Lonchura striata: one gene and its partners. The protein of the gene in region 1 purifies or fractionates together with the protein of each later gene. This does not show direct contact. Links are inferred from orthologs where the notes say so. Each region holds a gene or a part of one and is shown in the gene's direction. Other genes may lie near its edges. The genes, in order: DDX6, MCRIP1, MCRIP2 and LSM12.

Evidence for each region.
Region 2: the proteins of DDX6 (region 1) and MCRIP1 purify together in Homo sapiens (affinity purification with mass spectrometry; 3 studies listed by BioGRID and IntAct, with this or other methods). This does not show direct contact. The link is inferred for Lonchura striata from reciprocal best matches to the Homo sapiens genes DDX6 and MCRIP1.
Region 3: the proteins of DDX6 (region 1) and MCRIP2 purify together in Homo sapiens (co-immunoprecipitation; 5 studies listed by BioGRID and IntAct, with this or other methods). This does not show direct contact. The link is inferred for Lonchura striata from reciprocal best matches to the Homo sapiens genes DDX6 and MCRIP2.
Region 4: the proteins of DDX6 (region 1) and LSM12 purify together in Homo sapiens (affinity purification with mass spectrometry; 5 studies listed by BioGRID and IntAct, with this or other methods). This does not show direct contact. The link is inferred for Lonchura striata from reciprocal best matches to the Homo sapiens genes DDX6 and LSM12.

Annotation. Positions count from the first base shown.
Region 1 is NC_134625.1:11,073,319-11,080,800, forward strand, and holds the start of DDX6 (putative ATP-dependent RNA helicase DDX6), read left to right. Parts: upstream 1-4,452; 5' UTR 4,453-4,595; intron 4,596-6,187; 5' UTR 6,188-6,272; intron 6,273-6,522; 5' UTR 6,523-6,786; coding exon 6,787-6,986; intron 6,987-7,482.
Region 2 is NC_134621.1:11,909,782-11,916,949, reverse strand, and holds MCRIP1 (mapk-regulated corepressor-interacting protein 1), read left to right. Parts: upstream 1-4,761; 5' UTR 4,762-4,850; coding exon 4,851-4,858; intron 4,859-4,931; coding exon 4,932-5,050; intron 5,051-5,139; coding exon 5,140-5,238; intron 5,239-5,345; coding exon 5,346-5,410; 3' UTR 5,411-6,655; downstream 6,656-7,168. Other genes in the region: PPP1R27 (protein phosphatase 1 regulatory subunit 27), read left to right, coding at 2,808-2,991, 3,951-4,101, 4,225-4,348. UniProt on the Homo sapiens protein: The phosphorylation status of MCRIP1 functions as a molecular switch to regulate epithelial-mesenchymal transition. Unphosphorylated MCRIP1 binds to and inhibits the transcriptional corepressor CTBP(s).
Region 3 is NC_134618.1:2,610,998-2,618,836, reverse strand, and holds the start of MCRIP2 (MAPK regulated corepressor interacting protein 2), read left to right. Parts: upstream 1-4,822; 5' UTR 4,823-4,901; coding exon 4,902-4,953; intron 4,954-5,032; coding exon 5,033-5,114; intron 5,115-6,716; coding exon 6,717-6,844; intron 6,845-7,046; coding exon 7,047-7,148; intron 7,149-7,839. Other genes in the region: METTL26 (methyltransferase-like 26), read right to left, coding at 717-764, 831-909, 1,116-1,183, 1,596-1,655, 1,752-1,914, 3,050-3,246.
Region 4 is NC_134627.1:8,636,828-8,643,947, reverse strand, and holds the start of LSM12 (protein LSM12), read left to right. Parts: upstream 1-4,118; 5' UTR 4,119-4,174; coding exon 4,175-4,295; intron 4,296-7,120. Other genes in the region: G6PC3 (glucose-6-phosphatase 3), read right to left, coding at 131-272, 351-469, 767-857, 981-1,087, 2,517-2,743, 3,884-3,901. UniProt on the Homo sapiens protein: Nicotinic acid adenine dinucleotide phosphate (NAADP) binding protein. Confers NAADP sensitivity to the two pore channel complex (TPCs) by acting as TPC accessory protein necessary for NAADP-evoked Ca(2+) release.

The DNA of each region.
Region 1 (7,482 bases):
CTGGAGACAAATAGAATGAAAAATCAGAGTCTGGGCTGAGACAGGAAGGGCAGGAACCAGAGCTGCAGGAGATCTACTGAATATGGCAAGCTGAGGCTTCTGGGAACTCTGCTGCAATTCTAGGACTGGAAGTGGATGGCTGCCATATCTGGGATGGGATAAGTGAACAGTGAGCATGCAGAGGGACCTTTGTACAGGTCTCCTGCATGACAATTGCAGCAGGTTTGGGGGTGGAAGAAAAAGTGTTGTCTGTAATAGAGCAATTGAGTGCATGCCTGGGAAAACTGTTCCTGCATGCTTTTTGGTCGAGGTTCCCTTTACCCTATAACCTGCATCACAGAGTTATTCTGGTCTCCCTTTGTCAGCTGTTTTTCTCAGTTCCCCACAACTGTCAGCGATCAAAATATTTGGCTGTAGAAGTGAAGCAGCTTGTCCACTGTTACGGATTTTCCATGTGAATCATTCCCTTCTAGTCAATGCCAGGGCTGGGAGCAGCAAATCTCATTTTGAAAACCTCAGAACTGTAATTGCCCACATCAATACAATATACTGACAGAGCTTCTGCTCATGACTTCTGCAGGGGCTGAACCAGGGAAATCCAGGAATAAGACCAAGGCCTGTGGAAATTACATGTTACTGCAGTGTAGGTGCCTTAACGCTCTTGAGTCATGGTGGTCCCATTGCAATGAAAACTGGGCCAAGGAACCTCAGGGAACCTAGTATAGATCTCAGTGGTTTTTCTGCAACTTGTTTTTGGATGTCTAGTCCGCAGATGAGGAAGGTTAGCAGGCAAAGCATTTTTGCTATGGAGAAATGGGGTTATCATTTTGGACACGGTACTTTTCTGCAAGGTTACAGAGTCAAAAGTCTCATATGATAACAAAATTTACGTGAGGCCCTCACTGTATTCACTGTGTGATACTGAGATAAATGCCCTTTTGGTGTAAATGTTCTCATAATTTTTCCTTCCATAATTGCTCAATTGATCAAACGATCCTCTCTGCACAAGGCAGAGTTTGTGTTGCCACCTTGACAAGACACTTTGGAGGCCTTTTTTTTCAAATCTTTATGGGTAGGTTGCTGCTACAAGCACTGAGTATAAGTAAAGCAACATATGCCACCACCAAAGCAAATACATTGATGCTCATGTGATATCTGCGGCCTCCCTATTCCAGGGAGGGAGCCAAATCTGGGAAGCTGCCAGAAGACAGAGGTGGGAAACAACACATATCAAACTCCCAACTGCAGAAGTCTGAGAAAAGGTCTAAAACTCTTCCTGCTGTGGCACCTGACTGTGGGTGTTTAGTCCTAAAATCAGCTGGGTTCTGCCACCCAACCCTCCACTCACACGGGGTCTTCTTTATTATGTAAAAGAATTCACAGCAGAGATAAAATCACAAAGCTAAGGATTATGTAAGTTTTGTATGCAAAGAAAATGAGATGAAAAAGGTTTGAGTTTGGTTTTAACCCCTCAGGAAATTTTAGCGCTGCCACTGAACTTCAACAGAGGTCAGGGAAAGAAGTGTCTTCTCCAAAAGAGTTTTAAAGGAATGACCACTATTTGCCAAGGGTTTTTATACTGGATGAATCAGAAAAGAAATAAATAGGGTAGGGCTTGCTCTTCCCTGGTGTGTAGGAAAAAAGGAAGAACAGAAAATCAGGTAACAATTGAATCCAACATTTCTCTTTTTGGAATAATTAATCCTGAGGTCTGCTGCAGGGAGCCACTGTAGTAAAAAAATAAATTCTGAGATGCAATATTTGATAACCAGGTTAATGATAATGCTGCTGTGTTCTTCCCGTTGGATAGCACAACATACTGTATAAGGTACAGCTGCTCTTTTTCACTTGTAAAGGCTGGGAAGAGAACTAAGGTAGAATACCTAGTGTCATCACTCTCTGTTAGAAGTAGTACTTGCAATCTATCTCCCACTCTTTAATCCTGTCTTGTAAATACACTGCGTGTTCCCCTTTCAGCAGAGTATATGTGGAGCCATATGTATGGAAGCCTGTATGTGGAGCAAGTAAGCAGGGTGGTCATACCATACCAAGGGTTTTTACACACGTAGAGAGAAGACTGGGTTTGCTTGGGTATTCCAGTTGTCAAAGGAGACCAGAGAAGGTGTACAGGGCTTTGCACACTGTGTACACAGTCATTTGTACTACTGAAGCCTGGTGCAAAAGGTTCCTGGCTCAGAATAACTGTTTTATGCCCATGTTGTGCTAATGGCTGTGCAGACAGCAGGGCAGCAGGAAGCAGAGGCAGGGAGAGGCTGGCAGCACAGGATGGGACTGCTGGAGCCCCACTCTGGCAGAGACTCCTGACCCTTTGCAGAGACTCTGGTCTGTGTCCTCATGAAAGGACAGTACTCGGGCTTAGTGCTTGCTAGTACAGGTTCCGTTAGCTTTCCCCAACAGAATACCCAGCATCCCTGCATCACAGGCTGGAGCCACACTACGCCAGCTCTCTGCAAGCAACAGCTTGTAGTCAAGTCTGGATTTAAGGGATGCAAGGACTAATTATGCTGGCATAAGAAATGGCTCAAGCTCTGCCTCTGCCAACAGGAGGGTTAGAAGATGGATGGCCAGAAATCTGGCCTTTCAGCCCACCCTAGCTCTACCTGCCATCCCTGTTATCAAGCAAAGCCAGGCCCAACTCACCAAGTCATAGGTCTCTGATGAGTAGCTGACAGGCCCCATGGTTTGAGGGGCACGATCCGTCTCTCCTCCAGAAATTGCTGCAAAAGTTATTTTCTGAGGTGGAGTTAACAATTTAAGTGAGTGGGGAGGGACACAGACTGTAACAATAGAGTATTTGCAAGGCAAATGAGCTCCAGGCATAGAGTGACCTGATTGATGTAAAGATTAACATCTAGCTTTATAATCTTTTTACTAGTGCTGTAATTGATTTTTAAAGTAGAGTTTGAAGAGTCCCTATTCCTTTGATCTATACCACAGAAGATCCAGAACATATTTAGGTCTTCCTTGGAAACCTTGCCCACAGCTGTCTTTGTTACAGGTGGTCCAAAAGGCTTTGAAAAGTTCTGTGCTAAGGACCACCCTTACCAGAAACCTCCTGGATCCAGGCACTTCTCTGGAGCTGTGCAGGACTTTGAAGCATGGGTATGGTCTGTATGATCATCACCCTCTGCCTTGGGGTCCTCCTGGCTGCTTTAACCCCACTGACTTGTAGTGGTCTTCTGCTCCTCCTTCTGCTGCTTCACCCCTCCTTTGGGCTTGGGGGGGGGGGGGGGTGTGAGGTGGCTTGCACAGGAAAGCAAAGCCTTGCAGCTACTCTGCAAGTCTAGAGCAGGGCTAGCAGGGGCTAGGCAGCTTGACTTCACAAGGGTAAGTAAGGAGAATCAAGATCTTCTCTGCTTGGGGAAAGGCATTTTGTTCAGTGATGTCACAGCAACAGACTCACAGTGGTCTGGGTCAGCAGAGTAGGTTGGCATTGCAGCTGGCATTTTGGCAGAAAGCTTTACCTGTGCGCGGAGCTGAGGTGGTCTGCCAAGCACAGTTTTTGTCCTCCTCTCGTCTAGGTACAGCTGCATCAAGGCGTCTCTACCAGCAAGGACTCTGGTGGGACTTTGTACTTGTGAAGGAGAAGGTGGTGTTATTCCCATGAGCACTGCTGGATTACACCACTCCTGTTTCTTAGACCCCGACTTGTTGGGCACCAGCTGCCCCGAGGATGTCGCTGTCCTCCCATACCGTGAGGACCTCTGTGTGCACCTGCAGGTGCTCATCAGCTCCTGGGCATTTTCTGCTGACAGGATGGAGAGCAGCAGACCCGGAGGGAGGCCACAGGGAGCTTGCACTGTGCCTCACTCACAGGCAGAGCACAGACTGAGCAAGCCCTGTCCTGAACCCCGTGCTGCGAGGGCTGAGGGGCAAGGCGAGGAGTGGGGTATCACTGGGAGACGAGAGGCCAGGAAGGATGTTTGCAATCAGCTACAACTGGAGGGTGGAGCTTGTGCCTTTTGCTGCTGAGGGTGGAAAGACAACCACCTACAGACTGCTGGAGCTGTGAGGAACTAGATAAAACCAGGAATGTCCCTGTCCTTTTGCATGTATTTTGGAAAAACATTTGAAGAAAAAATTGTCTGCAAAGCAGTCACTACTAAGATTACATTCCCACTGTGTCTCGGTTTGTCAAAATCCACATCTAAGTAACAGCTATCTAAAGAGAAATGCCAATCCCCAGCTTGTCACGGTCGGCGGTTACGACTCCTGCAGGCTGTGGCTCAGACCCCCGTTGTTAGGTTTGTGTTGGCTCTGTTTTAACGGCAAAGCCCGGTCAGCTCCCCGGGTCAGAGGGGAGGGCCGGCTCTGAGGGAGGGGACGAGCGGCCCGCCCTCGAGCGCGCTGGGTGCGGCGTGACGCACGCCGAGCGTACGGGCGTGCGTACGTACGTACGTACGTACGTACGTGTGCGTGTGGGCCGGGGCGGGGCCGGTGCCACCCGCCGGGAGGGGGAGGGCGCACAGGAGGAAGGAGGAAGCCGCCATCTTGGAGCGTCGAGTCGCCATAACAAGGCACCGGGGGAGCGAGAGGATTTTGTACCTGGGCGAGGGGGAGCGCGGCTGGTGGCGGTGAGCACGGGCCAGGGCGGGCGCGGCTCCGTGGGATCAGGGTGAGGGGGCCGCTGCCGGCGGGCCGCGCCTCGCGGCCTGCGGCGAGAGCGCGGGCCTGAGTGGGGCCTGGCGACGCCGCGGGCGGGGCGGGGACGGCCGGACCGGGCCTGGGCGCACCGGAGCGGCGGGGCCGGGGCACCGCGGGGGCGGGGCCGGGCGGCTCTCGCTCCCCGCCGGCCCGGGCGGCGAGGGGCGGCCGCTCCATTGTTCGCGGGCGGGAGGTGCCGGTGTGGCGCAGCTGCGATCGGCGGGCGGCGCCGGGCCCGCCGCTCTGCCCCGGGGCTCTGCACTGCGGCCCGGGCTCATCGGGCGCGCTGAGCACCTCGAGGGCTCCCTTTGTGCCGGGCCCAGCCGGCGGAAAGGGAGAGGTCCGGAGCTGCTGCCCTGGCCGCCCGCCTGCGCCCGGAGAGCAGAAATATGCGACGGAGGCCCTTTTTTTTCAGTCCGTTGGTTTGCAAAATGGTGGCGGTTTTTTTATCGGAACAGGGAGATTTTTTTGGGTTCCGTGAGACTGTGCGGTTTTTTTAACCTGTGCTCTTCAAAAGGATAGTTACGAGCTTGAAGGCATAAGGGACTGAGAGGTTTCATTTCCTACACCATTGGAGAACTTATCGGTGTTAGTAGTCGGGTCTCATTGGCGTCTCTGGCTGCCTTCGTAACTCCTCTGGTTTTTACGAAGTTAATTGCTAAAAGAAGTATCTTTCCGAAGATGCCTTGAAAGTTAACTAGCAGAAAATCCTAGTATCGCAAACTTTCCAATGTTGCTGGAAGCCAGCACTAACACACCTTAAAACAGCTGGGAAGTCTGAATTCCTTTTCCACTTTCTTGAAATGCTCTTCAATATGCTTTTTTATTCACAGGGAAGACATGCATTTTGTTGTGAATGCAGAGGTTAGGAAGCAGTAGTCTGCTGGTTTTCCCTTTGTGTTTTCCCAAGATGCAGATGCTCAAGGCGAGCCTACTTTTCATTCCAAAAGATTTTGGACTAGGGACGTTTTGTCTCCCTGGTATCATTGTAAGGAGTCTTTAGCTCTGGTCCATACTTGCATTATGTAAGAGGCAGACTACGTGTTGTCTTTCCATAGTTTTGCAACCTCTCTATTACATACAGTGTCAATATTAAGTCATGTGTATGAAATGTTATCTTCTGAGGACCACACAAGTTGTTGCTGACAGTGGGAAGGTAAGATCACAAGCAAGAAGCTGGGGAACCAGCAGCGTTGCTGCCTCAGTTCAAGCTCAGTGGCTTTGACTCCAAGAGGCAGCTGCTCTCAGTTCAGTGTAATGGTGTTGGTTTGTCGCTCTTCTGAATAGCCTTAAATCAATACCTGGTTGAAAACTGGGGGTAAGCTGGTTGAGCTAGCATTTTGGGTTGGAGGAATGTAAGCTGTTGGTTTGGTTTGCATAATCTATATTTCCCATTCAAACCAAACAGGGCAATTAGTTTATAATGTAAGGGTTTTGTCAGTTCTAACTGGAATGTCCGCTTGATATTGTAGTCTTGCTTCTTGTCACAAATTTACGCATAATATTGTTGTTCACGTTTTAGGGCTGGTTGGCTGCATCACGGAAGTGGGGGAATTGGAGAGCCATCAAAGCAATTGATACACTTAATGGTTACTTTATCAGAGGGGGTAGGTAGTGGAAGGTCGCTGAAAGTACAGCTGTTTGGGAAGTTTTCTTTGATGTCTGAAGATGTTAGGCAACATTTTCTAGAAAGACAAAAAATGTTTGATGCATGTCTTTATAATTATCACGAAAACGGCAAGTACTGTTGTTGCACACAGTCTGGAAGAAATTTTTCTTAAAATACAAAAGTAAACTGATGTGATTTGCACAGAGAAAAATCCATATGCTAATTGTTATTGTCTGCTTCTCTTTCAGATTGAAGCAAGTGAATTGTGATATAACTGAACTTCAATAGAGGGCTTTTTTTAAAAAAAAGTTGTTCCACAGTGCATCAGAGCAAGTTACTGCTTTACTTTTGAGTGACTTACAGGTGCTTGCCTGCATTGCAATAAAGGACTCATATATTGAGCAAGACTTATTTATCTCTTCATTTTGGAGAGTCTAATAAACTGTTATTACAGTTTCTGTACTGACTTTCAAAGTTTTGAAGTCTAAAAAGACATCTTTAAAGATAAAAGCATGAGCACGGCCAGAACAGAGAACCCTGTTATAATGGGTCTATCCAGTCAGAATGGGCAGTTGAGAGGCCCTGTAAAACCCAGCGGGGGCCCAGGAGGTGGAGGCACACAAACTCAGCAACAGATGAACCAGCTGAAAAATGCCAACACAATCAATAATGGCACTCAACAGCAAGCACAGAGTATGACCACCGCTATTAAGTAAGTGTTTGTATCGGCTGCCATGCAAGGAATGTTTAGAAGTTATGTATGGGAAAGCATTCTTGGATTCCCACTTTGAAAATGCTGCCTTCTGTTTTGTCACATGGGTGGTTAGAAGTGTCCTGTCATGTGCATTACAAGTATTTCCACATGTGAGCTTCTCTCTTTAACAGTAATTTTTGTGAAAATCCAATTTGGTCCTGTGCTTTTCTGAGTGTGAGCCACTGTCAGAGGTAGCCCAGCTTTTGAATCCTGTGTTTTTTGCTTGCTGGAAGTGGTGCAAGAAGGAAGTATAGGAGTGGGAGGGAACTGAGCTGACGTTTAAGACTGAGGAGGAAATGCCACCTGGTCTCAGTCTAATTGTTTCTGCCTTTCAGTTTATTGTAATTCTTTCCCATGGTGAAAAATGCTTTAAAGTCAGTTATCTTCTGTTATTGATCTGAAATAGTAGTTCCTGATCTCCTCATTGTAATGCTCTGGCTTTAATTTATCAAAG
Region 2 (7,168 bases), on another chromosome or scaffold:
CCAGACGTTTCCTTTTCCTTCTCCTTTAAGACACTTGGAGATGACTGTTCCAAACTCCTGGAGGGGTGGAATACTGTGTGCACTGGCTGTGGCAGGCTCTGAGGGTGGAGATGGCTGATGGCTCACCAGCTGTGTTGACATCCTTTTGATCAAAGACAAGAGTTGCAATCCCTTTCATGAATTATTTTGAGTGGGTTAACCCGGCAGGTGGGTGGTGGGGGAGGGTCTGATAAACAGATCAAACAGGACATTTGCAATTACTGGGGCTTGGGAATGTGACTGAGGGAGTGCCTCACAGGCCTGAGCTGTATCAGGCTGGTTCTTAGCATTCTGCTACAATAACATTGGTACTGAATTTGATGGCCAAATAAAGTTGAGATTTTAATACTATTTTGTCTCTTTATTTGAACCTTCTCTGGAAGGAGGGGTCAGAGTTGTAGGATGATTCTCAAGGGACTCTGCTGCAATGGTGTGTGTGTCACTTTCTCCAATTAGTAAAGGAAAATAACATCCCAATGCTCATGTCCTGTCTGGATTCCATGGGCTTGTGCAGGTGCTCTGTTAGGAGTGAACGGGCCGTGGTTTGGCTCTGAGACTGTGCACCCCCTGGGCCAGCTGGCTGGGCTGAGGGGACATTGCTCTGGAGCAGTGAATCTCAGGGCACGCCAGGGCTGCTGTGGCTCTGCTAGTCAGGCTCACATGACCCTGTGAGCCACGGTGCTATTTCCAAACCTGCTGCTTGCTGCTGAAGGTATTTTGGTTATAAAATATGCTATAAATGTCACAGGAGGGCATGTTGAGGCTAGAGGACAAATGGGGGCACCTCTGTGTCTCAAGGAGTGGGATGTGTGCTGGAGCAGTGGCACGGGTGTTGGACAACACTTATGTCTGTCTCCCACTCCAGCCTTCTGTGCCCCAGCAGAGCCCGTGGTGCTCCCAAACTTTGGGCACAGCAGCCCCAGGGCTGGAGCTGAGCAGGTCCCCACTGACCATGGGAACAGGAAGGGCTGTGCCTGTCAGAGCAGCAGCCAGGTGTGTGTGAGACCAGAACCTGCAGTTACATGGAGGTAGACCTCTGAAGATGCCTCCCTCCAGGGCCATGCCCCCACCTGACTGAAGGTAGGCAGTGGCTACTGCTGCACCTCGACAAACCCAGCAGTGCTGGTAACCTGGGCTGGTTGGTGACAGCTGCTTTGTCTTTTGGAGTGGGGAGGAGGGGAATCTCACTAGTAAAGTTCCAGTGAAAGATGCTGTCTAGAATTCAATTTGAATAGATGTATTTTGCACAGCCAGTTGAACTGTGACCAAGTCTGAGCTCTGCAGTGGCTCTCCTCTTCCTGGGCAGAGACTCACTGAGCTCAGCTTAGAGGAGATGCCTTTCCTAGCCCAAGGCTCCCTGTGGCAGAGCAGGAGCTTAGCAGCCATCTGATGTACATGCCTAATTGCTGTTCCAAGAAAGCAGGCTGGAAGTCCCTAGTACTGAGCTTGGATGCCCCGTACCATATTCAGGCTCATCTAAGCACAAGCAGATGCTTGGCCAAGAAATCAATGCATTGGCCAGCAGATAAACAAGTGCAGGAGTTGTAAGGTGCATGGTTGACTGTGCTGCTGGGGTCAGGGCAAGGGGCTGCAGCAGGAGGGGCAGAGTGAAACCCCTGACTTAAAGCAGCACAGGGATTTTTTCTGACACACCCACCTGGACAATCCCCATCAGCATGACAGAGCACAAAATGCTTCAGAGTCTGACATGCCCAAACTTTGATGGGAGAAAACAGTGGTTGCTTAAACCCATGGTGGACCTGAATGATTTCTCTCAGATGGTTCTGTTTTGGGTCATGACAGTGTAGCTGGAGAGTATCAGAGGCAGAAGCTGTCTGATGGTGGTGCTGTTCTGCTGTTCCTCTAAGTCTGCTTGCAGTAGCCTGCCCTCAGCAGCAGCTGCTTCCCTATCTCGAGGAGGACAAGGAACACCAGGGACCAGCAGTGCCGGCTTCTAGTTCTGTGCCTGTCTTGGGATCACCAGCAGCACCTCTGTCCTCACAAGGGCACAGGGGACATCTGGCACTCAAGTTGTGCTTCCTTGCTGGGCTGTGCTGTCACAGCTGTGCTGGGCAAGGAACTCCTCCGGCTCCTTTTAGGTTGTCCCCTGCAGCAACAGGAGGGTGACAGCTCTGGATGTGTTTGTGCCCATGGCCCTGGCACACCCACAGTGCACTAGCCAACTGGGACACGAGCGGCCAGTTCCCTGTGTTGCTGGTTGTGCCCATGCCCCTTCCCCCAGAAGGATTTGAGTTGATGGGAAATTGCTTCCAGGCTCCCCTGTAGGGCTACCCATGCAAGAGTAGATTTGACCCCTTGGATGGGGCACATCAACAGGTGGGTGGTAAGATGAGACATCAACTTCTGCCCAAAAGTGGGAGGCTGCAGGCCTGGGCGGTTCGATTACGAAGCATCATGGCAAATAGCATGAGCTGCATGTCCCCAAAATAGCCCAGGGAGTCTTTATAACGTGGTGCTCCCAGAGAATCAACAGTCCTGGGCCAAGGGCCTGTAGGTGAGCTGCAAGTGCCAGGCGCCACCTCCTGCATGTGACTCAGGGAGTACAGGAGAGCACGGTGGCTGCCACTTCCCTGTGGCAAGGGGACACGGACACGGGCGGGGGCACAGCAGGAGCGCAGCGCTGCGGGGCCAGCACACATCCGTAGTGAGGAGGGCCCCTGACGGGCAGAAGAGGAGGCAGCCCAGTGAGGGGCTGGGCCGCGTGCCGAGCAGTGCCCACGCCGCTGTGCCTGGAGGCTGCGGTCAGCATGAGGGACTATTGCCCCTTGGGGCCACGGTACCGCCGGTACACGCCACGGCTCAGGGCCTCGCGCACCGTGCACTTCCCCAACGACGTCGTCTTTCAGGACCACATCAAGAAGGGGGACCTGGAGCAGGTGGGCAGGTTCATACGAGCCAGGAAGGTGACACTGGACACCATCTACCCTTCTGGTGAGTGCTGCTGGTGGGCAGAGCTGGGGAGAGCAGCGGCACAGCTTGGTGGGGCTGTGAGGGACACTCGAGCTGGGCTGTGGGCCACCTTCAGCAGGACTGCAGCAAGCCAGGCCCCTCACTAGCAAGAGCAGTGCCCAGCAGGGCGCAAGAGCCCCAGGCCGAGGCCCCAAAATCTGCCCTCAACAGCACAGCCAGCACATGCTGTGGAAAGAGGAAGCTTGGCCTCTGGGTCCCTTTAAGGCACCACTGAGCACCTACAATGTGTTGGGACCTCAAAGGGCAGCAGCAAGCACAGGCTGTGAGCTGCGGGCAGGACCCTGCAGCTCCTGCCTTTTCCCCTGACTGGGGGATCTGCATTTGCTCCTGGTTCTGCCTGTTTCTCACAGCCACTGCTCCCTTTAGTATGTCTGCCTCTGGGGACTCAGGGAAAGCTTTGTGTTCTGTGTGTACAGCCTCACCAGCAATGGAATGGAATGCCGTGATCTCTGCAGGCTGATGCAGAGCCCAGATTTGTCCTTTTCTTGTGCTTGGCTTCAGCTTCTGCTCTCACAAGGCCATGGAGACAGAGGCTCAAATGACTCTGAGCTTCTTTCTGTCCATACTGATTCTTTGTTAGTGATGAGCTTCTGAAACTCAGGCAGAGCACGATGCGAGAGACCCTTCTCATGTCTGCATGTCAGTCCTGTCCAGGACTCTAAGGGGCAGTTCCACTTCCCTCTCTCTGTCCTGTCTAGCTGGGGCAATGGGTGCTGCACCATCCCAGACAGGGTATTTATGCTGCAGAATGGCAATAGGAACCCACAGCAGCTCCTCTGGCTTTCTCAGTCTTTGTTTCTTTCCCCACAATCCTCTCCCTGAGGACAGTTCCTGCACCCCTTTCCTGAGCTGTGCACAACTCGTGAATTCAGCACGGAGAGCTCTTGCCCTGGCCAGGGCTAACACTTCTCTCCCTTCAGGCATGGCAGCCCTCCATGAAGCCGTGCTGACGGGAAACCTGGACTGTGTCAAGCTCCTGGTGAAATACGGCGCTGACATCCACCAGAGAGATGAGAACGGCTGGACGCCCCTGCACATGGCGTGCAGCGACGGCTACGCCGACATAGCCAGGTAAGGGCTGTGGGGCCGCGCGGCGCGCTGCAGCGGCGGCCGTGCGGCTCCTTCGGGGGCTGCCCGGTGCCGCCGCTGCCCCCGGGGCTGCCCGGCCCGCCGGCTCAGCTCCGCGTCCTGCAGGTACCTCCTGTCCCTCGGGGCCAGCCTGGAGGCCACCACCGACGACGGGGAGAAACCGTCGGACCTCATCGACCCGCAGTACGAGGACCTGGTGCAGCTCTTCGGAGCCACCGTGCTGCGCTGAGCCGGGCATTGGCGAAAAGCGGCCCCGAGCGCCTCGGGGCCGGCCAGGCGGCTCCGCCTGCCGAGGGCCGGGGCTGCGCCTGGGCTGGGCCCGGGCGGCGGCCAGGCAGCAGCGCTCGGTACTGCGAATCGGGAACCACTTTGTACTTTTCCAATAAAGCATCTCGGTCACTGCCTCCGGCGCCGTCTCCGCCGCCGTCTCCGGTGCCGCCGGGCCGGGGCCGGGCCGGCCGGGGGCGGGGCCTGGCGGGCGGAGGCGTGGCCAGCGCCGCGCGCAGGGCTGGCGCGGGGGTGTGGCCGCCGCCGGTAGGGGGCGGGGCTGCGCCTGCGCGCTGCGGCGCTTCCGTCTGTGCGGGTGGCGCAGGCGGGAGGGCCCAGGTGAGGGGCGCGCGTTGCCCGGCGACGGGCGGGGGGCGCCGCGCGGCCTGGCCCGGCCCTGCGCCTCGCCTTCCTCCCGCGGCCCCGCCGAGCCCCTTCCGGCCCCGCCGAGCGCCGCTGACAACATGGCCAGGTGAGCCCCGCCCGGCCCCGGGCCCAGCGCGGCCCCGGGCCCGGCTCAGTTTCCCCCCGCGCTCCGCTTGCAGCTCCCCCGTGTCCCGGGTGGTGTACAACGGAAAGCGGAGCGGCGGCCCGCGCTCCCCCGGCGCCGGCAGCGAGATCTTCACGCCGGCCCACGAGGAGAACGTGCGCTTTATCTACGAGGGTGAGCGGGGCGGCGGCCGCTGGGTGGGGACGCGGGAGGCTCGGGGCGGCCGAGGCGAGCGGCCCCTGGCGCTGTCCCTGTCCCCGCAGCCTGGCAGTGCGTGGAGCGCGACCTGCGCAGCCAGATGGGCTCCGAGCGCGGCCTGGTTGAGGAATACGTGGAGAAGATGCCGAACCCCAGCCTGAAAGGTGCGCGGGACGGGGGCACCGCGCCGGTGTGTCGGCCCGGGGGTTGCGCGCGCCGGGCGAAGGCTGTGCTGCCTCTGCCCCCAAAGTCTCTCCTGTCTCCCTTGCAGCGTTTAAACCCGTCGACCTGGGTGATCTGAAGAGGAGGAGCACACAGGATGCTAAGAAGTCCTAAAGCGGGTCCTCCCTGCGGGTCGGCTGCTCACCTGAGCTCCTCAAACAGATTTAATTCGAGATTTTGTGTTGATTTCCTCCTCTGGTCTGTCCTTCTAAAAGTCCATGGTAGAGCCAGTCAGCTCTGGGGCTGGCTCTGAAGCTGCCTGAGGTCGAGGATGCTTAGGGCCTCACCGAGACTGCCCAGAGCCTGTTGCAAAGGATTCCAGCCCCCCACTCATAGCTTTTTCTCACCTCAAACTGCTCTTCCCTACTTCATGCTGAGCAACCCGATCCCCTGTTCCCCTCCTGTCGCTGCCCTCTGTGCTAGGCTGGGCAGGGCCAAGGCAGATGCGCTGTTGGATCAGGCAGCATGGGGTCGTGCTTTCCCTTGTGCATTGGAGCTCCACCGCTGCTGGGGCTGGCCGAGGGCAGGTGGCACAGCTGAGTCTATTCCTGTGCCTCCAGACACAGGGGCAACTCCTGTCCAGCCCCACTGTGCAGCTGAGGGCTGGGAGACCATAGTCAGACTCCTCCCAATTCCACTGTGGCAGCAAGTGCTGCCTGGGCTGCTTGCTGCCAGAGCACGTGGGCTACATCTGAGGCCACATTTTCTACCTGCTTAGATCAGACCTGGTCCCTGTGGTGCTGGAGGGAAAGGTGTTCCTTTCCCTACAGATGGAGAGGTGGAGTGTCATCACCTGCACCAGGCTTCTGAGGGGTGCTCAGAGGGACCTGGGCCACCTGCAGCCCCATAGGAGACAGTGGCCATGGGAGCAGCCATGGGGCTGCACAGAGCAAGGCTCGGGAGCTCCTTGCTCTGGCAACGCTGCAGTTTTGTACTAACACCATTTTCCAGATAGGCAACCCCTGGAAGAGACCTACCTGGCCCCTCAGCTTGCCCTGGGTGGCTGCAGGTGGTGGAACCACGCCAGGGGCGCTTCCTTAAGCCACTTGCTCCTGGCACTGCGTGGATAGCTCCTGCATCCTTGCCTGGGCCAGAGAGAGTGACTGTGTCAACTTAGCCCACCCGAACTGCTGGGCTGCTCCATGGGGAAGTGTGGCAGCCCCCTGCCTGCCTGTGCTCCGAGCTGGCGGGGATGGGGCTGCCAGGCCTGCCCAGTACCAGTGGCTGTGGGGAAGGCTACGGGGACTTGGGGCTGCCAATTCCTTTCCTTTGCTGAGTCCTTGAGTTGTACTGTACCCTTTCCTTACTGTGGTATGTCACTTGAGGAGTGTTGTAAATAAACGCTGGTGTCCTTTTGGGGCTGCCTTGGTGTGGTGCTGCAGCCTGGCCCAGTTCTGAGGTGTGGACAAGGGGCAGAGAGCAGGGGCTGTGTTTGTTTTTCGCAAAAGGGCCCTGGCCTTGCACTTGCTGGGGCTGTTGATTTCCCTGCGGGCAGGTGCCGCGTGTCAGTGGCTCAGTGCCCTTGGTTGGGCAGCGCTCCGGGCAGCCAGCATCCCAGGAGCTGTCACTGCACCCAGGATTTAAATGTTGAGACTATTAATACCCTTGTATCCTCTTCCCTCTCCTGCTTTAATGGCATTTAGGCTATACTTAGCATTGCTTGAATTTCTGCTTGAGTGCATCATGACACTTACCATGACCCTGTTTACCTCCCATTGCCAAAACATTGCTGTTGGTGCTGTTGGTTCTGGCACAGCAAGATGGGAACTCAGTCCCTATTGCCTCCCGAGCCACCCCAGGCCCTGCATCCCTGTAGCTGCAGGCAGTAGGGGACAGGAAGCTGTGGGCAGTGGGGGACAGGGAGTGATGATT
Region 3 (7,839 bases), on another chromosome or scaffold:
ACCCCATGCTGAGCCCCAGACCAGCTCCCACCTCCACTGTAATTTATCTGCCGCATGTTCCCCCCACTGTGTGACCCCCCCCCCCCAATTACTGTCCAGCAGCAATCGAGAACTGAGTTGGGTTGCAGAGGGGTGGGAGATCTGCTGGGACCACCCCACTCATAAAATCTTCCCACTTCACCAAAGCCTCTGGGCCCAGTGTAACACCCCAGGGTGCTGGACCTGGCCCTTTCATTGGTGCTGGAGGTGGAACTGGGGACACCCAACCCCAGTGTTTGTGCTGAAAACATCAGGGAGCTACTGGGGCATGGGGGGCAAAGCCACAGAGTTTATTGCGGAGGCAGCAGCACAATCCTGGGGAGGGGGGCAGGGGGAACACCACCAGCACAAGATCCTCCAAGGAAATGGAGCAAGGAGTCTCCCCCATGCCCACGGGTGTTGTGTGCCCCCACCCCACACACACCTGTGTCCCCCACAGCAGCTGTGCTGGCTCTTGTGGTCCAGGCTGGGGCACCCCACTGCAAAGGGAGCTCCAAGGGCACTAGGGGAGATGGACCCCCCCTCCAGCCAAGTCAGCCCCAGCTGGGGTGAGTGGGGCTCCGTCCCATCACTGCTGTCCCCAGCCCCAGTGGCAGCCATGGTGGGACAGCGACACCGCAGGAGGCTTCAGTGGGGACAGCAGCGCTGGGAGGCGCTGGAAGCGCCGCCAGGGCAGGTCACAGCTTGCGGAAGATCAGGCTCTTGTTGTTGGCCGGCATGTCCACCTGGAAGCACAGAGCGGGCTCGGGGGTGCACACCGCACGGGCAGCCCCCCAGCGCCCATCACCTACCATCCTCTCCAGGCACAGCCCGTTGGCCTCAGCCAGCTCCTGCAGCAGCGCCGTGTCCCGCAGCCCCCAGGCGGGATTCCTGCGGGGAGGGAGGCGCGGGTCACCCCGGGGACACCCCGCCCCAAACCAGCCCCATCAACCAGGGGCACCCCCGGCTGGGGGGCTGCCCTCAGGCGTGGCTTATCTTGAAGGACCACGCTGGGAGGGAGCTTCCTGCGGCTGCAGGGGGGGACAGAGAGGACGGGATGGGCTCCCAGGAGCCTGAGCTCCCCAGCCCCCTCCTACCTCTGCCTCAGGCTGTGGTCGAAGTCCACGTTGCTCTGGGGGCTGATCCGGCCGTCCACGGCATAGGGCTGGTGGGACACAGCTGGAGCTGCAGGCAGGAGCCACCCTGTGCCTCCTCCTCCACCCCAGCTCCGGTTCCACGGACACTGCTGTGTCCCCACCAAGCACAGAAGCCAAGCGGGAAGAGACAGAGCCCCCAGGGAGTCCCGCCACGCACTGTGAGTCCCGTCACCCACTGCAGGCACCCCCAGACCCTGCTTTGGATGAGGTGAGGGAGGACAAGATCTGTCTCCCCCAAAACTGCTCTTTTCAGTTCTCAGAATGTGCCCAAAAAGGCAGAGACCCCCAGAAGCCAAGCCCCTGCATTTTCCAGCTCTCCCCCTAAGCCGTGACTGCAGCTGCCCTCCCACCTGCCCCCCCAGTATCCACTCTGGCATCCTGCACCCCCAGGATGCTCCTGCACCAGGACAGGTGACCCACCCCATAGGTGAAGAGCACACCTCCAGGCTTCAGCAGCACCCCAGCACCCTTGAACAGGCCCTGGGGAACGAGAGGCGGGGACCAGGTCAGGGGGCTGGGGAACGCCCTGGGAGCCCCCTCGGCCTGGCAGGGGAAGGGGCTGTCAGGGCTGCTCACCTCGGTGCACCGCAGCTCTGCGATGTGCATCATGTTGATGCTCACGATGAGGTCGAGGGAGGCGGGCTGGGTGCCCCCCCAGGTCTCCCAGCCCTGGGACACGTCCAGCAGGATGGGGGGCAGCAGGTTGGGCAGCCCTGCAGCCTCCACGTAGGCAGCGATGCTGTGGGCACCAAACCCCGCCTCAGGCCCAGCCGGGTGCCCCGTGCCCCCCAGCAGGTGCTGCAGGCAGGGACAAAGCCCTGCGTGGGCTCTCAGAAGTGGAGGAACACCCACAAAGGGACGTGGGTGCAGCACAGCCTGGGGCTCCTTGCCCAGCCCTTTGCTTGCAGCTGCCAGATGGAGAACTGGGAGTGCCTGGATAACCAGCAGCATGTGGACACAGAGGCCCCAGGGCCAAACCTCCCCAGTTTTGGAGCACCGTCCCCTTGTGGGGCACCCCACGGGCACCACTGCACCAGCACCTCCTGATTTTGCTGTTATTTATGTCCTTTTTGGCACATTCACCACCTAGGTCTCAGCTCCTGCAGCCTCCCAGCCTGGAGATTATTTTTACCCAGGGTGGTGGGTGCTGCTGGGTGGGCAGCACCAAACTCCTCCTGGACAGGAGCTGGTACCAGCACCTCCCCACCAGGCTAATTATTTTTCTGCGGTGGAAAACTGAATTTTGGGAGTTTTCTGGGAAAAATAAAGCTGGGGAGCTGGGAAGCATGAGTTGTTTGGGAGTTGGCTATTGGGGATTTATTGAAGAAAATATAGTGAGTATTGACCTGGGGAGCCTGGGCTGGGCAGGACTTGAATATTGTGGTCTGCCTGGAAAAAAATAAAGCATCAAGCCAGAGAGTCTGGACTGTCCAAGGGGGTATTTGCTGGGAAAAAATAAACATTAAGCTCATCTGAGAGCAGGATATTGGGGTTTTCCTGGAAAGAATACAGCAGCAAGTGGGGGAGCCTGGGCTGCTGGAGAGTCGATTATTGGGTTTTTCCTGAAAAAATAAAAGAATCGTGGAGCCTGGGCCCACTGCTGAGTAGGCCTTTACTGGGAAAAAATATGCATCCAGTTCATCCAAGAGCTGAATATCGGGGTTCTCCTGGAGGGAACAAAGCACTAAGCAGGAGAGCCCGGGCTGCAGGAGAGTCGGACGCTGGTGTTTTCCCAAAATCCCCGAAATAAATAAATAAATAAATAAATAAAATGGGGAGCAGAGAGCGGGGGCCGCGGGTCCATGGTCCGTGGGAAGGGGTGCCGGTGGAGCCCCCGGGGTCCCCGTCCCCCCGGGACCCCCGGCCCCGCTCACCTGCGCAGCGCCCCGGGGTCGATGTCCGAGGGCTGCCAGCGCGCCTGCGGCAGCGCCCGGGCGAAGTGCGCGGCGTGGAGCCCCGCGCCCGCGCCCACCTCCAGCACCCGCAGCGCGCCCGCGCCGCTCCCCGCGCACTCCCGCAGCACCGCCAGGATCGGGCCCTTGTTGCGCTCCGCGGCCGCCGGGACCTGCATGGCCGGGCCGGCGGCGGAACTACAGCTCCCGGCCCGCCCCGCGCCGCGGGCGGAGCCCCCACGGCAGGGGAAGGAGAAAGAAAACTGCGCCGCCCGGGAATCGAACCCGGGTCGCAAGAATGGGAATCTTGCATGATACCACTACACCAGCGGCGCGGCCGGCAGCCGCCGCCTCCCGCCGCCCCTCGGAGCTGCCGCCCCCGCGGGACCCCGGCCCGGCCGCCGCCGCTCCGCCGCCACGCAGCGGCACCCCCGAAAGGGACAAAGCGAGGCTTTGCGCGGGCACCCCAGGAAAACGGAGGCGAGGGGGGACCCCCACCCGCCCTTTCCCGCGACAGCAGTCACCGGTGATGGAGGTCCGGAGGGATCCACCTAGAGCACAAGGATTAGGGGTTCAGGCCTTCCAAGCGTGGAAAAGGTCAGGGGTGCGCCAACAGGCACTTAGAAACCCCGGGCAGGTCTGCGGGGAAACTGAGGCACAGCCGCCAGCACGTTACATGCCAGTAGTGACATCCCATGGGTCAGGGTTGTTTTTAGGCACAATAACAGGGCTGGGGGTGACAGCAGTGGATGCACACCCCCAAAAGGTCTGCTCCTGCCTGGCACCCACCAGGGTCAGGCGCTGCTGGGCTTTTATGGGAGGTACCCTCTTACACGCCTCCCTCGCTGGCCGCTACCGGGGCAACGTGGCGGAAAGGCGAAGGTCACCCTCGTGTTTATCACACGATCTCTCCCCAAAACTCCGGGTGCTGTCGACAGCCACAGGGGCGGCCGGTGGACACTGCGGGGTGGCCGGGGTCCAGCTCGGGGTCGTGTCCTGGGTCTGCACCTCCTGCCACGTGCGGACACCTTGGCGGGACGTCCCCGCTCCAAAGGTTACGGCGCTGGCCGGGACGCGGCTGCCCGCCCCGGCTCCCTGCGCTGGTCATGGGACGTGCAGCTCGGGACTATTCACGGCGCTGTCCCCGTGGGGGTGGCACCTCAGCCCCTGCCTCTGCGCCCCTTCACTTTTCCCTGCCTGGGTCCTTTGTCCGGGGTCCAGGAATGACACCTGTCTGTCCCCTGTGTGTGCCGTGGCTCCAGTGTCCTGTCTCCTGCATGTCCCCGTGCCGGTCCCCCCGAGTTTCCCGTGACTCCCGTGTCCTCTGCGCGTCTGTGCCATCTTGTGTCCCACGTGCCTGCTTGTGCCCTTTCCCCTACTTGAGCCCCGCACGGTCCAATGTCCCTTGTGTGCATTCTGTGCGTCCTGTGCGAGTCCCACATGTCCCCTCTGTGTCCCATGGAAGTCCCCATATGCGCCCTGCTTATGTCTCCAGTGCATGTTCCTTCATCCTGCGTGTCCCCATTAATCCCCACGCGCGCCCCCGATGTGTCCCCGACGTGTCCCCACAACCCAGGCACGTCCCTTACGCAGCACACATGTCGCGTGTGTCCCTGCACGCCTCCCGCGTGTCCCCACGGCCTGTCCCGCGCGTGTCCCCCGCGGCCCCGAGCGGCCGCGCGCTGTCGCCGCGTCCCACCGCTTCCCCCGCGTTCCCTTTAACTCAAGCGGGGGCGTGCCCGGAGGTTGGCTCGGCGAAGCCCGCTGACGCCCGGTGAGGGACACCTGAGGCACTCGGGCAGGGGCGGCAGGGCCGTGGGCCGGGGCCCGCAGGATGTACACGCTGACGCGCGGCCCCAGCAAGCTCGCCACGCAGCGCCGCACAGGTACCGGGGGGCGCGGGGCCGGGGCCGCGGGGGCTCGCTGCCACCCTCGCCGCCCCCTGACGCCCCGCGCTCCCCGCAGGTCCCACGCAGCAGGCGGTGGACAGCAGCAAACTGGGCGAGCTGCGGGGCCGGCCGCAGCCCGGCCCGTGGCCCCCCGCCAGGTGAGCCCCGCTTGACCTTGGGACGGGGACCGGCGCTGGGGCGGCCGCGCCGCTTGACCTTGGGAAGGGGAAGGGGAACGGGACGGCTGGGCCGCCTGGCAGGACGCGGGAGGGGACGCGGGCTCTCCGCTCGGTGCCGCTCGCCCCGGGGGTCTCAGCGCTGCTTGTGCCCGCACGCGTCCCGCGGAGCTCTGTGCACGCGTGCCGGGGCAGCCCCGCGTCCAGGACACACCGGAGCGCCGGTCCCCCTCCTTCCCACGGGCCGTACCCAAAAATCTCGGGGAGTGGGCCCAGGGGGTCACGCCAAGGAGGCGGCGCGGCGGGGTCCCGGTGCGGGGCAGAGGCGGGGCCGCTGGCGCAACCCCCACCCGCCGCCGGCCCCGATTGCACAAACCGGGCGGCGGGGCCAGCGCCGGGCCCGCCCGCTTGGCCGCGCCGCGCACCCACGGGGGCCGCGGAGCCCACGCGGAGCTGGCGATCCCCTCTGCCCCAAAAGCAAGGGCGACACTTGCTGGGTGAATTTGTGTCCCGCAGCAATACCTGGAGCTGCTGGCTGGGTGCTGTGGGGTATTCCAGTGGCTGGGGGGTGGTGATGGGACCCCTAAGGAGACTCTTTCCAAACTTGAGGGCTGGAGTCACAGCACACCCAGACAGGATAGTGGGACCCCGCTGTTTCTGCACCTCCTCTCCAGCTCCAAGAAGTGGATGGATGAGCCTCCCCCGCCAGTCCCTCTGCTTTCCAGGATCTCTAGAATTCACTGGAGTGGCTTCTGCCATGCTTGCCCTCCTCCTGTCTGCCCAGTGCCCCTGGATGTGGGGGCTACAATGTCACTGCCCTCCCCAGCCCCTGCCTGCAGATCTGCAGGAGCTGCCTGCTCCCAGTCTCTCCTGCCCTCCAAACCCACTCCTAGGGCCTCTTAGACTTTGTCCCATGAGGAACGTGGCTGTTGCAGACGTGTCCTGCCCTGGAGCTGAGCAGAAAAGCCAAAATACTGGAGTTTTGCACTGAACATGCTCCCAAGTCTCATCCCAAGTTTTTCCTTTAGCTCTGGTGGGGGTTGCTGCATCCAGGGAGGGAGTGGTTGAAGTGCCCCTCAGCAGAGGGCATCCCAGCTCTGAGGAAGCCTGACCTGCTCGTACTTTTCAGAATGTAACATCCCAGTCCTGGGGCGCCTTGTGTGCCCCATGCTGGGGCCAGAGCTGTTCCAGTGAACCTGAGTGCTTGATCTGCAGAAGATGGCACATCTTCTGTCCAGTACCTGACTGGATTTCACTTCCATTTCCTCATGTTCCTGCAATTTTAGTGGCAGATTCTTTATCTTAGGGACTGCACTTGGTGCTAGATTGCAGGATGGGTGGGAGATGGGCAGCTGGTGCTTTTCCCCAGGGAGCTCCCCTTGCACCCCTCCTGTGTCAGAATCCCCTGCCCCTGGGGGCTGGGTCCCTTTCCATCCCAGTCCTTGAGGACAAGGCTGGGTGACCACAGCTGTGGGTGAGTGTGTGCACCGTGGGGGAGCCCAGGACACCTGAACCACCCCAGTTCTTGCTGGGGTGCGCAGAGCTGCCTGTGCCCTCATCCCCCTTTGCTTCCCTCCTCCACAGTCCAGTGCAGAAACTCGTCTTCAACAGAGTGAACGGCAAGAGGCCCCCCCTGCTGCTGCAGCAGATCTCAGCCCCTGAAGAATGCTACACCCTGGCCCACGAGGAGAATGTCCGCTTTGTCTATGAAGGTGAGGGCAGAGGGTCCCTGGGGCAGCACCCAGGGGACCTGGAGCAGATGGAGTCCCTCCATGCCGGGGACATCGGTGGCAGGCATGGAGTCCCCGGCCTGGGGGCTTGCCCTCCTTTGCTCCACCTCCTGCTCCTGTCCCACAGCCCCCCACACTGGGGACCCCCATCCCAAACCCATGCAGCGCTTGTTCCCCTCTCCAGCCTGGCAGCAGGTAGAGCAGCAGCTGGACGGCAGCCGGAGCGGGGAGAGCGCCTGCGGCCCCGTGCAGTATGTGGAGAAAACCCCCAACCCCGGACTCAAAAGTAAGTGGGCAGTGGTTGTGGCACTTTGGGGTGCATCAGGCTCGGGGTGCAGTGGCTGTGGGCTCAGTCTGCATCTGAACAGAGCTGTGGTGGAAGGACAAGGAGGATTCCAGTGCTGGACGTGCCAGAGGGGCTGGTTGGGTCACTCTGGGGGTGCTGGGGGGAGACAGCTGGCCCCAGGCACTGTGGTGGGGATGTTGCACTGCGTCCCTTGGATGTTCCACTCTGTTGCTGACTCCTCTGGCATTCAGGCCTTCTCCTGCCACCAAGGGGCTCAGGATCATGCTGGAGAGAAAGGAGGCACCTGTGGAACCCACTTCTCCTGGGGCCAGCAGGAACAATTGGGCATGGGGACAACACTTGTCTGGTGGCACCCGGAGTCAGCAACCTGCAGGTTCTTGCAGCAGCTGAGAACTCCCCAAGGAAGAGAATGTTCCTGTACACCCAGTCTGGCCTTTTGGGGACATGGCACAGAGGTGGAGGAGGCTTGGGGGTGTCATTAGATTGGATATCAGGGAAAGGTTCTTCCCCCAGAGGGTGCTGGGCACTGAACAAGCACCCCAGGGAATGGGCACAGCCCCAAGGCTGCCAGAGCTCCAGGAGTGTTTAGACAAAGATGTCAGGCCCAGGGTGGGATTGTTGGGGTGTCTGTGCATGGCCAGGAGCTGGACTGGAGGATCCCTGTGTCCCT
Region 4 (7,120 bases), on another chromosome or scaffold:
CCCCCGGGACCCCCCTGTCCCCTGTGAGACCCTTTTCCCCTGTGAGACCCCTTTTCCCCCGTGACACCCCTGTCCCCTGTGAGACCCCTGTCACCCGGGACCCCCCTGCCCCCCGTCCCCCGGCTCTCACCAGTCCAGGTCCAGCCCCGCGGCCGTGGCCAGCCCGTGCAGGGCCAGCGCGCCCAGGAGCAGCCCCAGAGCCGTCAGCAGGAAGAAGCGGCACTTGAGGAAGTTGGGGGGCCAGCGCTGCAGCCCCCAGCCCAGAGCCATCCCTGGCGGGGGCACAGGCGGGGTCGGCACTGGGACGGACCGGGAGGGGGCCCGGGGAAAGGCTGCGGCGCCCCCCTCACCTGCCAGGGAGCCGGTGACCACCTGATGGGGGAAGTGGGCCAGCACGAAGATGCGGGAGAGCCCCATGGCCACCAGCAGGACGATGTAGGCAAGGAACGGGGTCAGCCTCAGCAGCCGGCTGGGAGGGAACGGGAGGAAAGCACGGCTGAACGGGGCAACTAAAACTGCTGGGGGGCTTCAGGGGCTCTCCCGGCCCCTTCCCGAGCTGCCAGAGAAGGGATGTGTCCCCTGGAGCGGCTCTGCAGCGAGGGAAGGGATCCACATCACCCTCCACGGGCGCTGGGGTCCCACATCCACCCCCTCTTCCACTCTGGAAGCTCCCAAGGGACGGTGTCTCCATCCCGGGACTCGTCCTGCCTCTCCCCCTGGTTCTGCCCCACATCCCCAGCGCTGCCCCTGCCCGTGCCGGACTCACCTCCGGGTGCACCGGGACACCTCCTCGCTCAGGGCGGTGACAACCGGCCACAGGGCCGCCGCCAGGATCATGCAGTGCCCCGAGGGGCTCCCTGGGGACGAAGCACAGGAGAGGCGCACTGCCGAGCCCAGCCCTTCCCCGCCGCTCAGAACGGCTCCTCCCGCCGGGACGGGGCTCCCGGGGCTCCTCCCGGGGCTGCCGAGCCGGGACTCACCTGGGCCCGTCTCGCAGGTGACCGGGAACTGGCGCAGCGGGAGCTGCTCCCGGCTGGAGAGCCCCGACTCGTGGATCCACCAGTACGGGCGCTCCCCGAACAGGAACCTGCGGCAGGGACAGCGCGGGGCTGGGAAAGCCCAGAGAGCCGGGCCGGGATCCTGCAGGGTCCCTGCAGCCCGAGCTGGGATCCAGGAGAGCAGGATCCCAGCAGGATCCCTGCAGCTCATCCTGAATGATCCGGGAGAGCAGGATCCTGCAGGATCCCTGCAGCCCATCCTGAATGATCCAGGAGAGCAGGATCCTGCAGGGTCCCTGCAGCCCAAGCTGGGATCCAGGAGAGCAGGATCCTGCAGGATCCCTGCAGCTCATCCTGAATGATCCGGGAGAGCAGGATCCTGCAGGATCCCTGCAGCCCATCCTGAATGATCCAGGAGAGCAGGATCCTGCAGGATCCCTGCAGCTCATCCTGAATGATCCAGGAGAGCAGGATCCTGCAGGGTCCCTGCAGCCCATCCTGAATGATCCAGGACAGCAGGATCCTGCAGGGTCCCTGCAGCCCGAGCTGGGATCCAGGAGAGCAGGATCCTGCAGGGTCCCTGCAGCCCGAGCTGGGATCCAGGACAGCAGGATCCCTGCAAGGTCCCTGCAGCCCGAGCTGGGATCCAGGAGAGCAGGATCCCTGCAGGATCCCTGCAGCCCATCCTGAATGATCCAGGAGAGCAGGATCCTGCAGGATCCCTGCAGCTCATCCTGAATGATCCAGGACAGCAGGATCCTGCAGGGTCCCTGCAGCCCGAGCTGGGATCCAGGAGAGCAGGATCCCTGCAGGGTCCCTGCAGCTCATCCTGAATGATCCAGGACAGCAGGATCCTGCAGGGTCCCTGCAGCCCGAGCTGGGATCCAGGACAGCAGGATCCCTGCAAGGTCCCTGCAGCCCGAGCTGGGATCCAGGAGAGCAGGATCCTGCAGGATCCCTGCAGCTCATCCCAGCAGGATCCCTGCAGCCCATCCCAGGACAATCCCATCTCCAGGATGAAGCCACAGAGGATCAGGATCGTTTGCCAGCCCCGATGCCCCCTGAGCTTTCCTCTGCCCGGAATTGCTGGCGGCTGCTCAGGGTGGCTGGGGTGACCCTGCGGAATGCCCCAAGCTGGGAGTCTGTGCCCCAAAATCCCCAGGCAGGCAGGGAGTCAATGTGTGTGCCCAAACCCCCCAGGCTGGGGTCAGTCTGTGCCCGGGCTGGGGTCAGTCTGTGCCCAAACTGGGGGTCAGTCTGTGCCCGGGCTGGGGTCAGTCTGTGCCCAAACTGGGGGTCAGTCTGTGCCCGGGTTGGGGTCAGTCTGTGCCCAAACCCCACAGGCTGGGGTCAGTCTGTGCCCAAACTGGGGGTCAGTCTGTGCCTGGGTTGGGGTCAGTCTGTGCCCGGGCTGGGGTCAGTCTGTGCCCAAACTGGGGGTCAGTCTGTGCCCGGGCTGGGGTCAGTCTGTGCCCGAGCCCCCGGCAGGGTGCGGGGAGCCCCCCGTGTGCCCCTCACCACTTGAGCACCACGTTGAGCCACTCGGCCAGCAGGGCGATCCAGAGCAGCAGCGGTGGCACGTGCTTGCCCAGCGCGCGCGCCAGCGGGAAGAACACGGTGTAGACGGATTTGGGATCCAGCTGGGACGTCAGGAACAGCCAGAAGCGCTCCAGCCAGGCCGGCCCGGCCTGCAGGGCCACGGCGGCGCGGATCCCCGCCTCGTGCAGGGCCTCCATGGCACCGGGCTGGGCACAGCAGGGACGGGTCAGCCCGGGCACCGACCCCGGGAGTGCCCTGGGGATGGGCTGGGAGGGGGTGGATCCCCGGGGATCCCGTGGGGATGGGGATGGATCCCCATGAATCCCTTGGGAACGGGGATGGATCCCCGGGAATCCCTTGGGGACGGGGATGGATCCCTGGGAATCCCTTGGGGATGGGCTGGGAGGGGATGGATCCCTGGGAATCCTGTGGGGATGGGGATGGATCCTTGGGAATCCCGTGGGGATGGAATGGGGATGGAGGGATGGATCCCTGGGAATCCCTTGGGAACGGGGGTGGGATCCCTGGGAATCCCGTAGGGATGGGGATGGATCCCTGGGAATCCCATGGAGACGGGGACGGATCCCTGGGAATCTCATGGGGATGCCGTGGGAGGGGATGGATCCCAGGGGTGCCTTGGCACTGAGGGGAATGGATCCCCATGGACCCCAGGGGTGCCTTGGCACTGGCTCAGGCACTCACTGACCACCTGAAGCTTGCCCAGAAACGGGTGCCCAGCCCCTGCCCGGGGGCAGGACACGCCTCTGCTGGCTCTGGGATGGGGCCGGGGCAGCATCCCAGGGATTGCTGTGGGATTTGCTGTAGCAGCCCAGATGCTCCAAAGAGCCACCACCGCCCTGGGGCCTTCCCTGGAGACCTCCTGGGGCTCCTGTGGGCGTTCTGCAGAAGGCCTGGGGAGTCCCTGGAGCCTCCCTTGTTATTCCTTGGGGTTTCCCTGTCCTGTGGTTATCCTGCGGAACGCCTGGGCTCTCCCTGGAGCCTCCCTTGCTATTCCCTGAGGATTCCCTGGGCTCTCCCTGCAGCGGCTCCTGAGCATCCCTGGGCATCCCTGAACATCCCTGGGCATCCCTGAGCATCCCTGAACATCCCTGGGCATCCCTGAACATCCCTGGGCATCCCTGACCATCTCTGAGCATCCCTGAACATCCCTGAGCATCCCTGGGCTCCCTCTGGGCTCCCTCTGGGCCTGCCTGGGCTCTCAGGCCCGAGGCCTCCCTAGGCTCTCCCTACACCAAGACCCCCGGTCTCCCCGTCCCCACCGGCGGGCTCTGCGGCCCCTGCGCCTCCCGGAGGCGCTGCCCAGCCCCGGTACCGGCGGGCGGTACCTGAGGGGCGGATTCCATCCCGGCCGCCCCTCAGCGCTCCCTCCCGCCGCTCTCACCGCCCTCTTCCGCCTACACTTCCCAGCACCGCCCGCGCGGCGCCGCGCTACGGCGGGGCGGGAGGGCCAAACCTCGCCCGGGTGCGCGTGGGGGGGGCGGGCCCGGCCAATCAGCGCGCGGGGCGGAGCAGATCGGCGGGGCGGAGCGCCAATCCCCGCCCTCGCTGGCGCCTGGCCCCGCCCCCGCCGCGCCTGGCCGAGGCGAGCGGAGCCGCGGGCGCTGCGGGCGGACAAGATGGCGGCGCCGGGCGAGTACTTCAGCGTGGGCAGCCAGGTGTCCTGCCGCACCTGCCAGGAGCAGCGCCTCCAGGGCGAGGTCGTCGCCTTCGACTACCCCAGCAAGATGCTGGCGCTCAGTATCCACCCGCCCGCGCCTCGCCGCCGCTGCTCCCGGCCCCGGCGCGGCCCGCTCGGGCCTCTGCGGCCCGCCCGATGGGGGGGGGGGGGGGCGTGAGGGAGGGAGGGGAAAGGGGGCGAAGGAGGGGAAGGGCTGCGAGGGGATGGAGGTGGGCGGCGACAGGGAGGGGTTTGAGGGGCAGCGGGGAGACCCCCGAGGGGTGGGGGGAGTGGGGAGCCCGGCAGGGAGGTTTTGGGGGGAGCGGGGAGGTTTGTTCTGGGGGGATTGGGGAGCCTGGGTTAGGGGGGAATGTGGGGATTGGGAGCCCGTTTTGGGGTGAGTGGGGGCCCTGTATTGTAAAGAGCTTAGGGGGGAGTGGGGAGCCCGGCACGGAGGTTTTGGGGGGATTGGGAGCCCGTTTTGGGGTGAATGGGGGTCCTGGATTATAAAGAGCTTAGGGGATCCCGTATTCTAAAGGGTTGGGGGAGTGGGGAGTCCGGCAGGGAGGTTTTGGGGGGATTGGGGAGCCTGGGTTAGAGAGGAACGGGGGGATTGGGAGCCCGTTTTGGGGTGAATGGGGGTCCTGGATTATAAAGAGCTTAGGGAATCCTGTATTCTAAAGGGTTGGGGGGAGTTGGGAGCCTGGCAGGGAGGTTTTGGGGGGAGCGGAGAGGTTTGTTTTGGGGGGATTGGGAGCCCATTCTGGGGTGAATGGGGGTCCTGGATTATAAAGAGCTTAGGGGGGAGTGGGGAGCCCGGCACGGAGGTTTTGGGGGGATTGGGGAGCCTGGGTTAGGGGGGAATGGGGGGATTTGGAGCCCGTTTTGGGGTGAATGAGGGTCCTGGATTATAAAGGGATGGGAGCAGTGGGGAGCCCTGTACTGGCTTGAAGGGGGGCACAGGAGCACCCAGTTTTGGGGAGGATGGGGCGGACTGTGCCGTCCTGGAGGGTTTTTTTTGGGGGGGCAGCGAGGAACCCTGTAGTGGGGTGAGTGGGGGTGTGGCATTCACTGTGGGGGGCTGGGAGCGCTGGATTGGGGTGAGTGGGGGCAGTGGGGGGGTCCCGGCCTCCCCAGTAGGAATAGACGTGGATCTGGTTTTGTTTGGAGCCTGCAAGGAACGGGGAAAGGCTTCGGGAAGCACTGGGGGGCCCCGGGTGGGGGGAAAGCTCAGCTCAGGGCTGGTGCTGGGGTTTGGGGGCACAGGGTTGGGTTTGGGGCACAGGGGTGGGTTTGGAGCACAGGTGTGGGTTGGGGGCACAGGGGTGGGTTTGGGGGCACTGGGGTGGGTTTGGGGGCACAGGGTTGGGTTTGGGGACACAGGGGTGGGTTTGGGGGCACAGGGTTGGGTTTGGGGCACCGGGGTGGGTTTGGAGCACAGGTGTGGGCTGGGGGCACAGGGGTGGGTTTGGGGGCACTGGGGTGGGTTTGGGGGCACTGGGGTGGGTTGGGGGGCACAGGGTTGGGTTTGGGACACAGGGGTGGGTTTGGGGGCACAGGGTTGGGTTTGGGGGCACCAGGGTGGGTTTGGGGCACAGGGGTGGGTTTGGGGACACAGGGGTGGCTTCTGCAGGGACTGGGGGGCTGGGAGAGGCTTTTGTGGCCTGGGCTGTGGGAAGCACGACAGGAGAAGGGCCCCTGGGTGCCTGGGATGTGGCTGGAGCCAGGGCAGCTGCCGGGTCCCACTGGAGGAAAGTCCCAGCAGGTCTCACAGGTTGCTCAGCGCTGCCTGTCGGCCCCAGGGGGGCTGGGCCCTTCCCAAAATCCAGCTCTTCTTCCACAGCTGGATGGAATTCCCTGGCTTCCTGCTCACTGAGCGGCGATTTTGGGGGGGCTCCACCTTGTGCTCAGGGGGCTGGGAGAGGAGCAGGGCCTTCCATGGGGATCTCTTCCAGGAGATGGTGCTGGCATGGAAGAGGTTCTCCATGCTGTGCTTCCTCCATCCATCCATCATCCATCCATCATCCATCCATCTTCCATCCATCTTCCATCCATCTTCCATCCATCTTCCATCCATCTTCCATCCATCTTCCATCCATCATCCATCCATCTTCCATCCATCATCCATCCATTATCCATCCATCATCCATCCATTATCCATCCATCATCCATCCATCATCCATCCATCATCCATCCATCATCCATCATCATCCATCCATCTTCCATCCATCTTCCATCCATCTTCCATCCATCCATCCATCCATCCATCCATCCATCCATCCATCCATCCATCATCCATCATCCGTCCATCCATCATCCATCCATCCGTCCATCCATCATCCATCCCTCCATCATCCTTCCCTCCATCCATCCATCCATCATCCATCCATCATCCATCCCTCCATCATCCTTCCCTCCCTCCATCATCCATCTATCCATCCATCCATCATCCATCCATCCATCCATCCATCCATCATCCATCATCCATCCATCCATCCATTCATCTATCCATCCATCCATCCATCCATCCATCATCCATCATCCATCCATCCATCCATCATCTATCCATCCATCCATCCATCATCCATCATCCATCCATCCATCCATCATCCATCCATCCATCATCCATCCATCCATCCATCCATCCATCCATCATCCATCCATCCATCCATCCATCCATCCATCCGTCCCTCCACCCTCCCGGGAGCAGAGGAATTGTGCAGGAATTCTCTCCACTCTGGAAGGGGTGGTGTTTTTTTGGGGGTGCTGTCTCATTCCCAACAGCAGCTCCAACCACCCACCTCATGCATCCCTCTGCTGGGAATTCCTCCCAGAGCAGGGAATGCTCCCCGGGACCTTCTGCCTGTGGGAAGGAGAGAGTTCTGGTGGAAAAAGAGCAAATTTG